Oryzias latipes: one gene and its partners. The protein of the gene in region 3 purifies or fractionates together with the protein of the main gene of each other region. This does not show direct contact. Links are inferred from orthologs where the notes say so. Each region holds a gene or a part of one and is shown on either strand. Other genes may lie near its edges. The genes, in order: mif4gd, ctif and slbp.

What was found.
Region 1: the proteins of slbp (region 3) and mif4gd purify together in Homo sapiens (affinity purification with western blotting; 3 studies listed by BioGRID and IntAct, with this or other methods). This does not show direct contact. The link is inferred for Oryzias latipes from reciprocal best matches to the Homo sapiens genes SLBP and MIF4GD.
Region 2: the proteins of slbp (region 3) and ctif purify together in Homo sapiens (affinity purification with western blotting; 3 studies listed by BioGRID). This does not show direct contact. The link is inferred for Oryzias latipes from reciprocal best matches to the Homo sapiens genes SLBP and CTIF.

Annotation. Positions count from the first base shown.
Region 1 is NC_019866.2:13,000,873-13,004,569, reverse strand, and holds the start of mif4gd (MIF4G domain-containing protein), read right to left. Parts: upstream 2,801-3,697; 5' UTR 2,706-2,800; coding exon 2,693-2,705; intron 2,628-2,692; exon of another isoform or gene 2,120-2,627; intron 2,089-2,119; coding exon 1,984-2,088; intron 1,893-1,983; coding exon 1,783-1,892; intron 1,576-1,782; coding exon 1,420-1,575; intron 715-1,419; coding exon 622-714; intron 536-621; coding exon 308-535; 3' UTR 1-307. Other genes in the region: slc25a19 (mitochondrial thiamine pyrophosphate carrier), read left to right, coding at 3,433-3,564. UniProt on the Homo sapiens protein: Functions in replication-dependent translation of histone mRNAs which differ from other eukaryotic mRNAs in that they do not end with a poly-A tail but a stem-loop. May participate in circularizing those mRNAs specifically enhancing their translation.
Region 2 is NC_019870.2:9,661,497-9,665,151, reverse strand, and holds part of ctif (CBP80/20-dependent translation initiation factor), read right to left. Parts: intron 3,296-3,655; coding exon 3,173-3,295; intron 3,026-3,172; coding exon 2,952-3,025; intron 1-2,951. UniProt on the Homo sapiens protein: Specifically required for the pioneer round of mRNA translation mediated by the cap-binding complex (CBC), that takes place during or right after mRNA export via the nuclear pore complex (NPC).
Region 3 is NC_019868.2:4,691,638-4,695,392, forward strand, and holds the start of slbp (histone RNA hairpin-binding protein), read left to right. Parts: upstream 1-1,453; 5' UTR 1,454-1,576; coding exon 1,577-1,641; intron 1,642-3,231; coding exon 3,232-3,345; intron 3,346-3,755. UniProt on the Homo sapiens protein: RNA-binding protein involved in the histone pre-mRNA processing.

The DNA of each region.
Region 1 (3,697 bases), on a different chromosome or scaffold from region 3:
TTGCATCAGACTGGAATGTCTTTTCCAGCTAGAATGAACATGGTCTTAAAATAAAGAAAAAGACTTTCAAATTTAAAAATATGTCATTTAGAAACATAAAATTGAAAGCTTTCTGAACTATTGCACAATCCACAGCCACCACTTCTCAGTCAATCTGCACAACACACCCAAAACTAAGCTTTTGTATGAATGATTCTCTCGTCAGGCTGTTCTAACTGCCTGGAAGAGCTGCTGTTTTTTTTGTCATCAGTTTAAAAAGAAGTGAGGGCTCTCATGTATTTTGAAGGTCTAATGCTTTGCACCTCCGTCAGTCAGATATTTCGCTGTAGTAGTACTTGTTGGCAGTGCTGCTGAGCATCCAGCCTCCAGCCCTGAACTCTAGGATTTCCAAGAGGAGCAGGCGTGTCATGGAAGTAAGGCCTTCCTGGAGGAGGAATCCGTCCCGGAGCAGAAAGAACAGCTGGTCCATCCGCTGGCTGTTCGCCTTCTCCAGCTGCTCTCCAATCCGGTGCAGCTGAAGAACCAGACAGTCCACCTGAAGAGGATGAGAGGAAGACATCCACCTTATGAAGCTACAATGATTTTACCACACTTTTCTCAAACACGTTAGCACATTCCCACCTCCTCTTCGTTCTTTAGGGCATCCGGCTGTGCCAGTCTCATCATACAGTCATAAACCGGATGGACCAGGGCCACCATGGGCATGTTGTTCACCTGACAGGGATGCAGGCACACAACACATAAGGGCAGCCTTTAATAAACTTAGTAATCAATGGCAAACTGATCTTACAAAGAAAATCCATATTGATTCATCAAATGTCTGAATCAATTTTCCTTTAAAGTAAAGTCTACTTTCATTAGGTTTTCAAAGTAAGAATTTTGAATTTTAACAATAAAAAGTCCACCTTTGTTCAGTTTAAATGACTGTATGAAATGTGTTTTTTTAACAAAAACATTTTTTTTAAATAAAAATGTTGGAAAATGAATCAAAATCGAATCTAATCGAGAGCTTGTGCATCAAAACTGATTGGATACAGCATTTCGGCATTGATACCCGGAACTAACATTAATAAATACATATAATTAATTATTAACTGATGGGAAAAAGTTAAAGCTGTGACAAAATGCAATGAAATAAAATAAAATATCAAAAACTTCTACCCAAGAACCCGAAATATACCTGATCACATTTAACACGCAAAAAGAATAGAAAAAAAGATCCAATGCCGTCATAGAGCAGCGATTTTGTTTTGAAAAAACATAAAGATATATTTGATAAGAGTTATGCATTCAGAATGGCTGACAGAGGCAATCCTGAATGTGTGTTGCACTATGTTTCCTCTGCTTTAGTTTGATCAGCAAAGATAAATGTCAAAGTCTTTCAGAAAGAAATAAAGAAAAAACATCTGTGCTTTTTACCTTGAGGTAGTCAAAAATGTTGCAGATAAAGGTGACATAGCACACCCACTCGTGTATCGAGCGAGCCCGCATGTCCTCGCGGTCCTTGAACTCCCGCTGCAGTCGGTTCAACAGGTTTCGCCTGAATACATTTCCATCGCTTTGCTTGGCCTCAGCCTGAGGTGGTGATCAGGAATCAATCAGAGCGTGATAAAAGCATAGATTAAAAACAAATCCCAGGACAAACAGTGGCAGAGGGGAGATGATTTATGAAATAGTGAAAAGCAGTCTTGGAGACTTAATCAGATGATATGGTTTTTCCAAATATTTAAATTAGGAGATGCTCTGAGTCAAGTTTTAAAGTATTTCCCCATGATTACTAACCTGGACAATAGTGTAGCAAATGCGGCCCGCCTCTTTGCTGAACACCTGATCCTTTAGAGACTGATCTACAATGATGTTAGACACTTTCTCCAGATCCACCGAACTTGGATCTGAAAGTTAATTAAATAACATTAAAATGTCTTCTAAACACATTTTTAAATCATAAAAAGAGCCTACAGAATATTAAAGGAAAATGTTGACCTTTCAAGGCAGTTTTCAGTAACATCTGTGTGTCTGGGTCAAATGACTGGAATCTGTATTCGTCCGTGGAGTTTTCCATTACAGTTGGATGAGCTTCCGTTTCATCTGGGGACCAGCACATGTGGAAATCAAACTGTCTTCTGGTCTCAAAGCTTTTTTTCTTCAATTATACAAGATTCTTGATTGCTAAAATCAGTGAGCTTCAGAGAACACATCAGCTATACAGAGACTTGTGACAAAAAATGCAGCAGTCATCAGACTGCTCCCTGCAGCCCATTCAACTGGGGTTAGAGGGGATTACGCCAGACTCGGGTCAACTAGAAACCATCTAACTACACCAAAGCACCCGTTTTCCAAAACAAAACAAACATTTATTTCACGTTCAGATTTGAGATTCGTGGATTTCTTTAATGTAATAATGTAACCATACTAAATTTAGAACTCCTTTTTTAAAATCACATTTCCTATAAATTGATATTTACTACAAAACAGTTCAAACACTAATTGAACTAATTAACAAACCGGTTTGCTTTGCTAGCTTGTGTGCTTCGGCCGTAAACAGCTAAACGTCAGGCATCAGGTTTGTTAGCCGTCATAATATCCATCCGCGAAAAGACACAAACGGGCGAAACTTTTAACAAAATGTAAGTAGTCAACATTTTTGTTACGTTTACAGTGTGAAGATATGCCAAAGGTTGCGAAAATATACCTATTTGACTCATATATGATGGTCATAATGTTGAAGTAAGGGCAGCCAAGCGCTCGTCGAAACTATCCTCCGAAGATGAAGTGTTGATGTCAAGATGTTTGTCTTTTTTTTAATTTACCGAAAAAAACAAAAAAAAAACAAATTCGGACTAAACAGCTTATTATCCATATGTTTTAATGAATGCATTTATTAAGATATATAAAACACGTTCTATACCGTTAGAATTTAATCCGTAACCGTTTGTGCGCTAAACTGGTTAGGGCAAATAGAGAGACATCTTGTTGCAGTATGGTATCTTTGATGGTATTAGGCACATGCGCTGTCCGAGTTTGCGGAAGTGTTGGAATAGTATTGTGCTTTTATGTAATGGGTCAGTTGGAGAGCTGCAATCATATATATGCATGAGTTGTCTTACAAGGTAAATTATATTTTATATTTACATATTATTTATATATTGTTTTTGTAACGGAAACGAAGCAATAAGTGCTATGTTTTTAGCCTAGCTAGCCCCACGTATGCGTTGACTGTCCTCTATGTACTACAACATGTGTTACGAAAGTTGATTCACCAACAGTTATATTTATGTGTGGGTGGGTGTGTGTGTATATAAAACAATATATAAAATTATAGTGATTATTGTGTCATTAATATCCACAAGATTTCTTTTTTTAAAACATAGTTTTTAATTAACAAAGTTGAAAGAACGCCTACTTTCTGCTTTAGTTTGAAGTTGTGCAGACATGGTGGGTTTCGACCCTGGAGCAAAGGAGGCTGCTATCTCCCCGAAAGAAGCCGTGTTGGCCGGTTCGGCTGCTGGGATGGTTACCAGAGCTCTCATCAGTCCCTTTGACGTGGTAAAAATACGATTTCAGGTAATTGTGCAGTAGATGGTGTCATTAGTGCTGTCATTTATATGAAGTAACAAATGCATAAACCCATTATTTTCTGTTTGTTTTTCAAGCTTTGAACTAGAATGGACCTGAATTGTGTATATCAATCCTTATA
Region 2 (3,655 bases), on a different chromosome or scaffold from region 3:
TTTGCTCCAGTAGCTGCACGTTGTGCGACCATGAGTTGTTATTGCTATAGGTGAAATGGGTGAGTGGTGTGTGTGTGTGGGGGGGGGGTTTAAAAATACAAAAACAGTTTTATTTAATATTTTGTTTATGTATTTATTAGTGTACAGTACTTTGTGTTACCATGTGTGAACAGTAGGGTGGTCCTTCCAGAGGGCTAAATTTTCAAATTAATATTTTTTCAGCTCCAACCCCTGAAATCTGTTGGAATAGCTGAAAATACTCTCCTTGTAAATTTTTTTCCAATTCCAACAACGTTTACCCCTCCCTCAATGAGACTGGTATGGTGCCTCAGCAGAAGAGTAAGGAGAACTAAGCTGGCTGCCAATAGATGGGCTTAGCAGTCTCAGAGTGAACACTAACAAATGTTTGGGACAGAGACTGTAGATTGGATATGGAATATGAATATCGCCTTTTTAAGAATTTTTTTTCACATTTAGAACAAACAGGAATACAAGCATACTCAGTTATATAATGGATGTTTTGAATGTTTACAATTTTCATCATCATTAATATTTGTTCTTTTTCATACATGTAGAATTGTAGATTAAATTGTTTGAGATCAGTTCTGATGTTAAAACTTTCATTTTAATTCTAATTTTAATTGTTATGTTGTTTTTATTCTTTGACAATGCGCACCCATAGGGGCCGAAGGGGAAAACTTCTAGGTCACTGAGGGAGGGGTAAATATTGTCCAATTGAGAGAAAAATTCCCAAGGAGAGTTTTTTTCAGCTAATCCAACCAACTTCATGGGTTGGAGCTTAGAATTTCCAATTTCCACTTTTAAGGACAACCCTAATGAACAGTGATATACAAAGAACGATTAATATGAATTGATGTGCGTCAGCCCGAATATGAAGGATGCATTCAATTCAATTTTATTTATATAGCCCAATATCACATCACAGTTGTCTCAACGGGTTGCGTGGCATCTCCTCCTTGCTCCAGGTTTGACAGCTTGTGGCTTTCAGCTACATTAACATTTTGGTTCTAAAAAAGGTTGATGACAGTTGAAGTTGGGCCAGACTGAGGCTAGTTTATATTCACATAGTAAGCAAAGCGCACCAGAGCCCTTTCAGAAGCAGACCATCCATTCCACTTGTTTGGTCCAGACCAGAGTTCGGCCTTATTTAGTGAGCAAATGCTGGTCTATTTTAATCAAATAGACAAGGTGGGTGTGAATATACGCCACGCTCACTTGTATTACTCTGAACTGTTTTAATGGTTGTGTGTTTTCTGCGTGCAGCAGGAAACAGTATAACATTTAAATATTCAGATATATCATCATAGTTTGTCGCTTGATTAAAAAATGAATGAATGAGCTTCTCAATCTAGATCCACACAGCTTAATTAGGAGTGCAGAAACAATTAAATTAAAACCATCAGTGTCTGGTAAGGACAGAGCTGCTTACATAATCCCACGGTGCAGGTTGAATAACTTCAGCCTGTCTTCAGCTGTGCCAACGTGGCTGGTACTCAGTGAAGCCGCTAAGTACAGTCAGAACCATACATATTTGGACAGAGACACATTCTAGTTTCTGTACATTACCACAGTGAATTTTAAATAAAACAACTCAGATGCCATTGAAGTGCAGACTTTCAGCTTTTATTCCATGGGTTAAAGAAAAAGATTGCATAAAAATGTGAAAAACTAAAGCATTTTTTTAAACACAATCCTTCATTTCATGGACTCGTCAGTAATTGGACAATTGACTTCCATGCTATTGAATGGGCAGGTGTGGGAAATTCCCTTGTTATGTCATTATGAGTGAAGCAGATAAAAGGCCTGGAGTTGATTAGAGGACTCGTGCTTGCATTTAGAAGATTTTGCTGTGAACAGACAACATGCAGTCAAAGGAGCTCTCCATGCAGGTGAAAGGAGCCATCATTAAGCTGAGAAAACAGAAAAAAACCATGCCAGAAATTGCTACAGTATTAGGAGGGTAAAAATCAACAGTGTGGTACATCCTGAGAAAGAAAGAAAGCACTGGTGAACTCAGCAACGCAAAAAGACCTGGACGTCCACGGAAGACAACAGTGGACTTGATCTTAACCCAAATGAGCAGCATTTCACTTGTTGAAGACTAAACTTCAGACAGAAAGGCCCACAAACAAACAGCAACTGAAAGCCGCTGCAGTGAAGGCCTGATAGAGCATTCAGAAGGAGAAAACCCAGCATCTGGTGACGTCCATGAGTTCAAGACTTCAGCCTGTCATTGCCAACAAAGGGTTTTCCACCATTTTGTTTTCAGTTATTTCATTTGTCCAATTCCTTACGAGCCCATGAAATAAATGAAGGGATTGAGTTTAAAAAATGCTTTAGTTTTACACATTTCTATGCAATCTTTTTGTTCAACCCATGGAATAAAAGCTGAAAGTCTGCACTTCAATGGCATCTGAGTTGTTTTGTTTAAAATTCACTGTGGTAATGTACAGAGACTAAATAAGAAAGAATGTGTCTCTGTCCAAATATTTATGGTCTTGACTTTAGATTTTACTATATCAAACCTATCAACCCTTTACAATATTAAGTGTCTTGCTGTTTTTTTAAATAAATTATTTTTTACATTAAAGATCAATTTTTCATAAAAATTGTTTGACTTTTTTTTCAATAAAACTTTTTGTGACCAACATTTTCAGAGGAGGCAGTGAAGCTGGTTAAATATCAGAGCAAACATGTTGAAATATCGGGTTTTAGCCTGAAAACTGGTATGGAATAAGAAAAGCAAAGTTTGGTTTGAAAGATTATTTAGGAAAAACAGAGAGGATTGTAAACACTAAGCTTTAAAGCATGAGACTGACTAGCAAAAGCTGTGAGACAGCATCTACATTTGCAACATGACTCACCGGAAACTATGTATGGAATCCAAAACTAGCAGACACAAAAAAGGTGTGAGACACTAAGACGCATACCCGCGTGAGTCCATTGTGTTGGCGGCCCAAATGTCTGTTCCCAGGATGTCAAAGGAGCCATCTTTGTTCCCGTTCTAGACAAAAACAAAGATGACAAATTCACACCATATTTCAGTTTCAATTTGTGTTTTTTCTTTTCCTAATAAAGTGGACATTTGCACGATGCCAGAGGAGAACACTCAAAACTGCTAATGAAAGCACACAGGCACATCTTTCACTACCTTAGCAGGAGCTTTGAACTGGTTATTCCGGCCTCTGCTGCCAGAACGGGAGCCTGACCCCTGTCTGGACCCTGAACTAGGCCTAGAGCCAGTACTGCCATTGCTGCTGTGCTCCCACTCGTCCTGCAGTTTAAAGGGGAGGAAAGCAGAAAATGCAGAGACTATGATATACTGAACATTTATAAAAGACATGACAGTCCGGAGGTTGTGTCAAACTAAGAAAAACAAATTGAGAAAAATCTTAATTTAACTTGTAAGTCAAATCAGGTTACAGCTTAGCCTTAATATTTGCCTTTAGGCAAGAATTCATAGTTTCACTCAAACCAATGAACTGGCAGTTTCTGCCCCTTTGGTTGGTTGTGAGCTTCATTAAAACTGCATCAAGTCAACATAATGTCAGAGTGCATATTGCTCAGCTGTTATCTACCTATCCAACAGTCTGAATGTTGAGTTGAAATAATAGTTGGAGTCTCTTTTTCTTTA
Region 3 (3,755 bases):
CAGTATAGGTGGAGAACTGTTTACATGGGTTGTTGTGATCTAACAATATGTATGAAAAGTGCTGAATAAATAATTAAAAAAATGGTTACAAGAGGTCCATGAACCCTGCTCCTGCACAGCTGCAGGTCCTACAGCTGGTTTGAGAGCAACAGAGATCAAGGAAGACAGAAAAACAAGCAGAATAAGCTACCGGTACATCAACCACAGAAGCAAATTTTTAGGACAGGTACTTTTAGGACATATTGTGTTTCAAAATGTACTTTGTATTAAATTCCATTACAATACTGAATCTATGAAATATCTTTTTAACAATTAGAATACTTCCTTTAATTATGGAAAAAACACTTTCAACAGAATAATATGAAAGTGGTACAATGAATTCCAAAAAACATATGGTTGTGATATTATAATCCCAAATAGATGCAAAGAGCTTTTGAAATGGTCAATTTGTCTTGAGCCAAAACATTATATTTCAATTTTAAAAATAGATGTAACCCTGCAACGCTGAAATCAAAGGTTAGTTTTACGTTGAAGCCTGGAGTTTTAATGCTGTTCAGGGTCATTTAGTTGCTGGAGCCAACCCAGGTACTCTTGGGCAAAGGTGGGGTAGACAGTTTGACAGTCCATTACAGGGCCACACAGAAACACACACACTCACATTCCCACCGAATAGATAATTTACCAATTAACCTGTGTTGCATGTTTATGGACTGTGGTCGGAAGCAAGAATCCCTTGAGAAAAACCACAGATGTTTGGGATAAACATGCAAACTCTAAACAAAAAGAACCCATCAAGGATTCCAACACATAAAAAGGACATTGCTAACCACTACACCACTGTGCAGCTTTGCTCGGCTTAATTCAATTGCAATACATTTTGAACAGATTGATGGTTTTTCTCACCATTTTGACAACCCCTAATTTTAATTCATTACTGTTTAAAATAAACGTAGGCAAACAATGTTAGAAGATGTCACTTATAGATTAAATGTTCCCTCGATAAAAGCTCCTCTTTTATAGAGTCGACCCTATTAACTGTAGACATTAGACTGAACAACACAGACACATTTAATGAAAGAGTTACATGTTTGATTTTTCCTTTAAAGTTAGTAAAAGAATAAGCATCGCAGTTGTTTTTATTTGTCTCTCAATTTCTGATTGTGCTCAATTACATATTTTAAATGTGTGAAAATAAAAAAACAGCTCAAAGCTGTCAGATCCATGTCATATGAGTTTTGATTTAAAAAATCTTGTTAATTAGAAGACCCTTTATGACGTAATAGCTTTTGCCGTTATTGTGGGTGGAGTCAAGGTTTTTTATTTTTATGATTAAATGTATTTACTTGTATTTCAAACTATATTCTTTTTCATACAAAAATAAAAAAAACAAGTCTGAACATTTTTAAATTGAAGGGTTCGATGGTCACGTGGTTCCCAGCGGAGTGTTTGGCGCGGTGCCTACGGAAGTGACGTAGCACTCGTCTTTGTGTTTGGCGCGCCGCGGGTTTTTGTTTTCTGTGCTTGGCGCAACTCGGGTTTTGGTGTCAAACGAGCAGTTTTCCCGCAGAACCGGATCATGTCTACCAGAACCCCTGACCGGCGGACCGACGCCACCAGCAGCCGCCGCGAACACACCCGGAGGTGAGGAGTTCCGATCCAGCTTGGTGAATTCGGAGAAGGCTGTTCCGTTCGGACTGAACGCCGGGACCGGCGGACAGCAGACCGAACTACCGAGAGAGGGAACTCCAGTCCTGCTCCTGACTCTAAACACATAGGTTTTTAGTCGGTTCTTGGCGGGTTTCCAGAACCTCAGAGGTCTTGAGAGTCCTCGACCACAAAAAACTGTTTTGACCGAACGAGCAGGTTTAGCTGTTTATTAACAGAACCGGGACGGATCATTATATACGTCGGTGTTCATTCTTTAAACCGGGTTTAGTGGAGACGGAAATGTAAATATCCGAGCTTTAACGTGTCGTGTGTGGTTCTGTGGATCCTCTTCTGTTGGATCGTGTTCTGTTTGGGAACAGTCCTCCGGAAAACCTCGCACTGTTTCTTGGTTCCGCTGCGCGGGGCAAATGCGCGCCAAAGCCGCACCTTTAGTGCAGATCCTACTTCATATAATGCAGTAAAGGCATTTCCACCTGCTGCTGTGAGGCGTTTAGACAGGAACATTGTGTTTTTAACATGTTCGTCTGACTGATGATGGAGGACACACCGAGAGAAAATTAGCTTTAAAAAACTTTTTGGAGTTTTTCTTTATTAAAGTTTTAGTTAATCAAGAGTAAAAAGATCATTTTTGTGACGTTGAAAAGACGTCACAAAAAATACAAGATCCCTGCTCCTCTCCATTCTTATTCATCATCTGTCAGACAAACAGATCCATGTTTGTCTTTGTTTTCTCGTCTGAGCTGGAATCTGGATCCAAACTGGACGTCTGGATAGATCCGATATCGCTGGCTATTTTTGTTGCATTGATAATGTTAAGTTGGAGCTGTAAGCAAGCAAACAAAGGCATGATGGGTAAAAAGGGCATGTCCTCTCACCGCCAACAGCCACAACTCAGAGGAGAATTCCTGCCGCTCTGCAGAAACTATGTCCTAGGTCAGGGGTGTCCAACTCATTTTTTACTGAGGTCCACATCAGCATAGCTGCAGTCCTCAAAGGGCCAGATAAACCTGAAAAATAAATGTAACTACTACTTAATGTTAAATTACTCATTTATTTATTCTAACTTTTTAAAGTGACAATTCCAGTTGCATAGAAAACATATATTTGTTGTTATTCTAGCATAAATCCTTTTACATTTGATTCTGTCAGGTTAAGTTATATGGACAGTGTTTAAGTCCTACTGTTTAGTTGCCCAATCCCATATTTCAAGTCTGATTCTCCCTAGATATGAATAAATACACACCAATTTTTATTTTTTATTTGAGAAATTAAAAACTTTTATGCTCTTGCGGGCCACAGAAAATGACATGGGGGGCCACGTTTGACCCGCGGGCCTTGAGTTTGACACGTGTCTTAGAAAGTGACATAGGTTGTTAGATTATGACTAAAAACGCCTTGATCCTAATTCAAAGACCACTGGGAACACTTTTACAATAGATCAGAAGAGACAACAAGCTCTGTTAGAAACCCAAACCCTCTGGTTTACGGCAACAGTTTTAAAGCCATGCACACGGCATGTCTGCACTCATAATGAAGACCCCCCCCCTCTTCTTTACTGTCCAGCAGCGGTCCGTCCCGGTGGTCCCACTGCAGGAAGAGAGGCGTAGACGGGAGCATGCGCACAGACGAGCATGAGCGCACAGACGAGCATGAGCGCACAGAAGGGAGACATTCCAGGTAACGTTCCAGGTATATTATTATGATGATGATGTGGTCCATTTACATTACTGAGGCCAAGTGCTCCATCTACAGCCAGACAGCCACAACCACTGTCCTGTGTTTCAACCAGTTACTGTAAATGAGAACGGAACCGACAGACTCCTCCCCCTGGCATTCCAAACAGGAAGTACCCGCTGGTTCCAAAAAGCTAAAATGCCATAAACTTCCATAGAGAAATAAACAGCTGTTACTCAGTCATTTTATTTGTCCAAATAACTTTTTTTGCTCTGACACCTTTCATTAACATGCCCTCGATAACTCGTTTTTTTATATTTTATCTTTAGTGCAATTTATCCAAAATATAAACTGACCAATCAGAGCATTTGATTGACAGATTTTGTGCAGCCGGTGGTTCTGCTGGTGGAAAA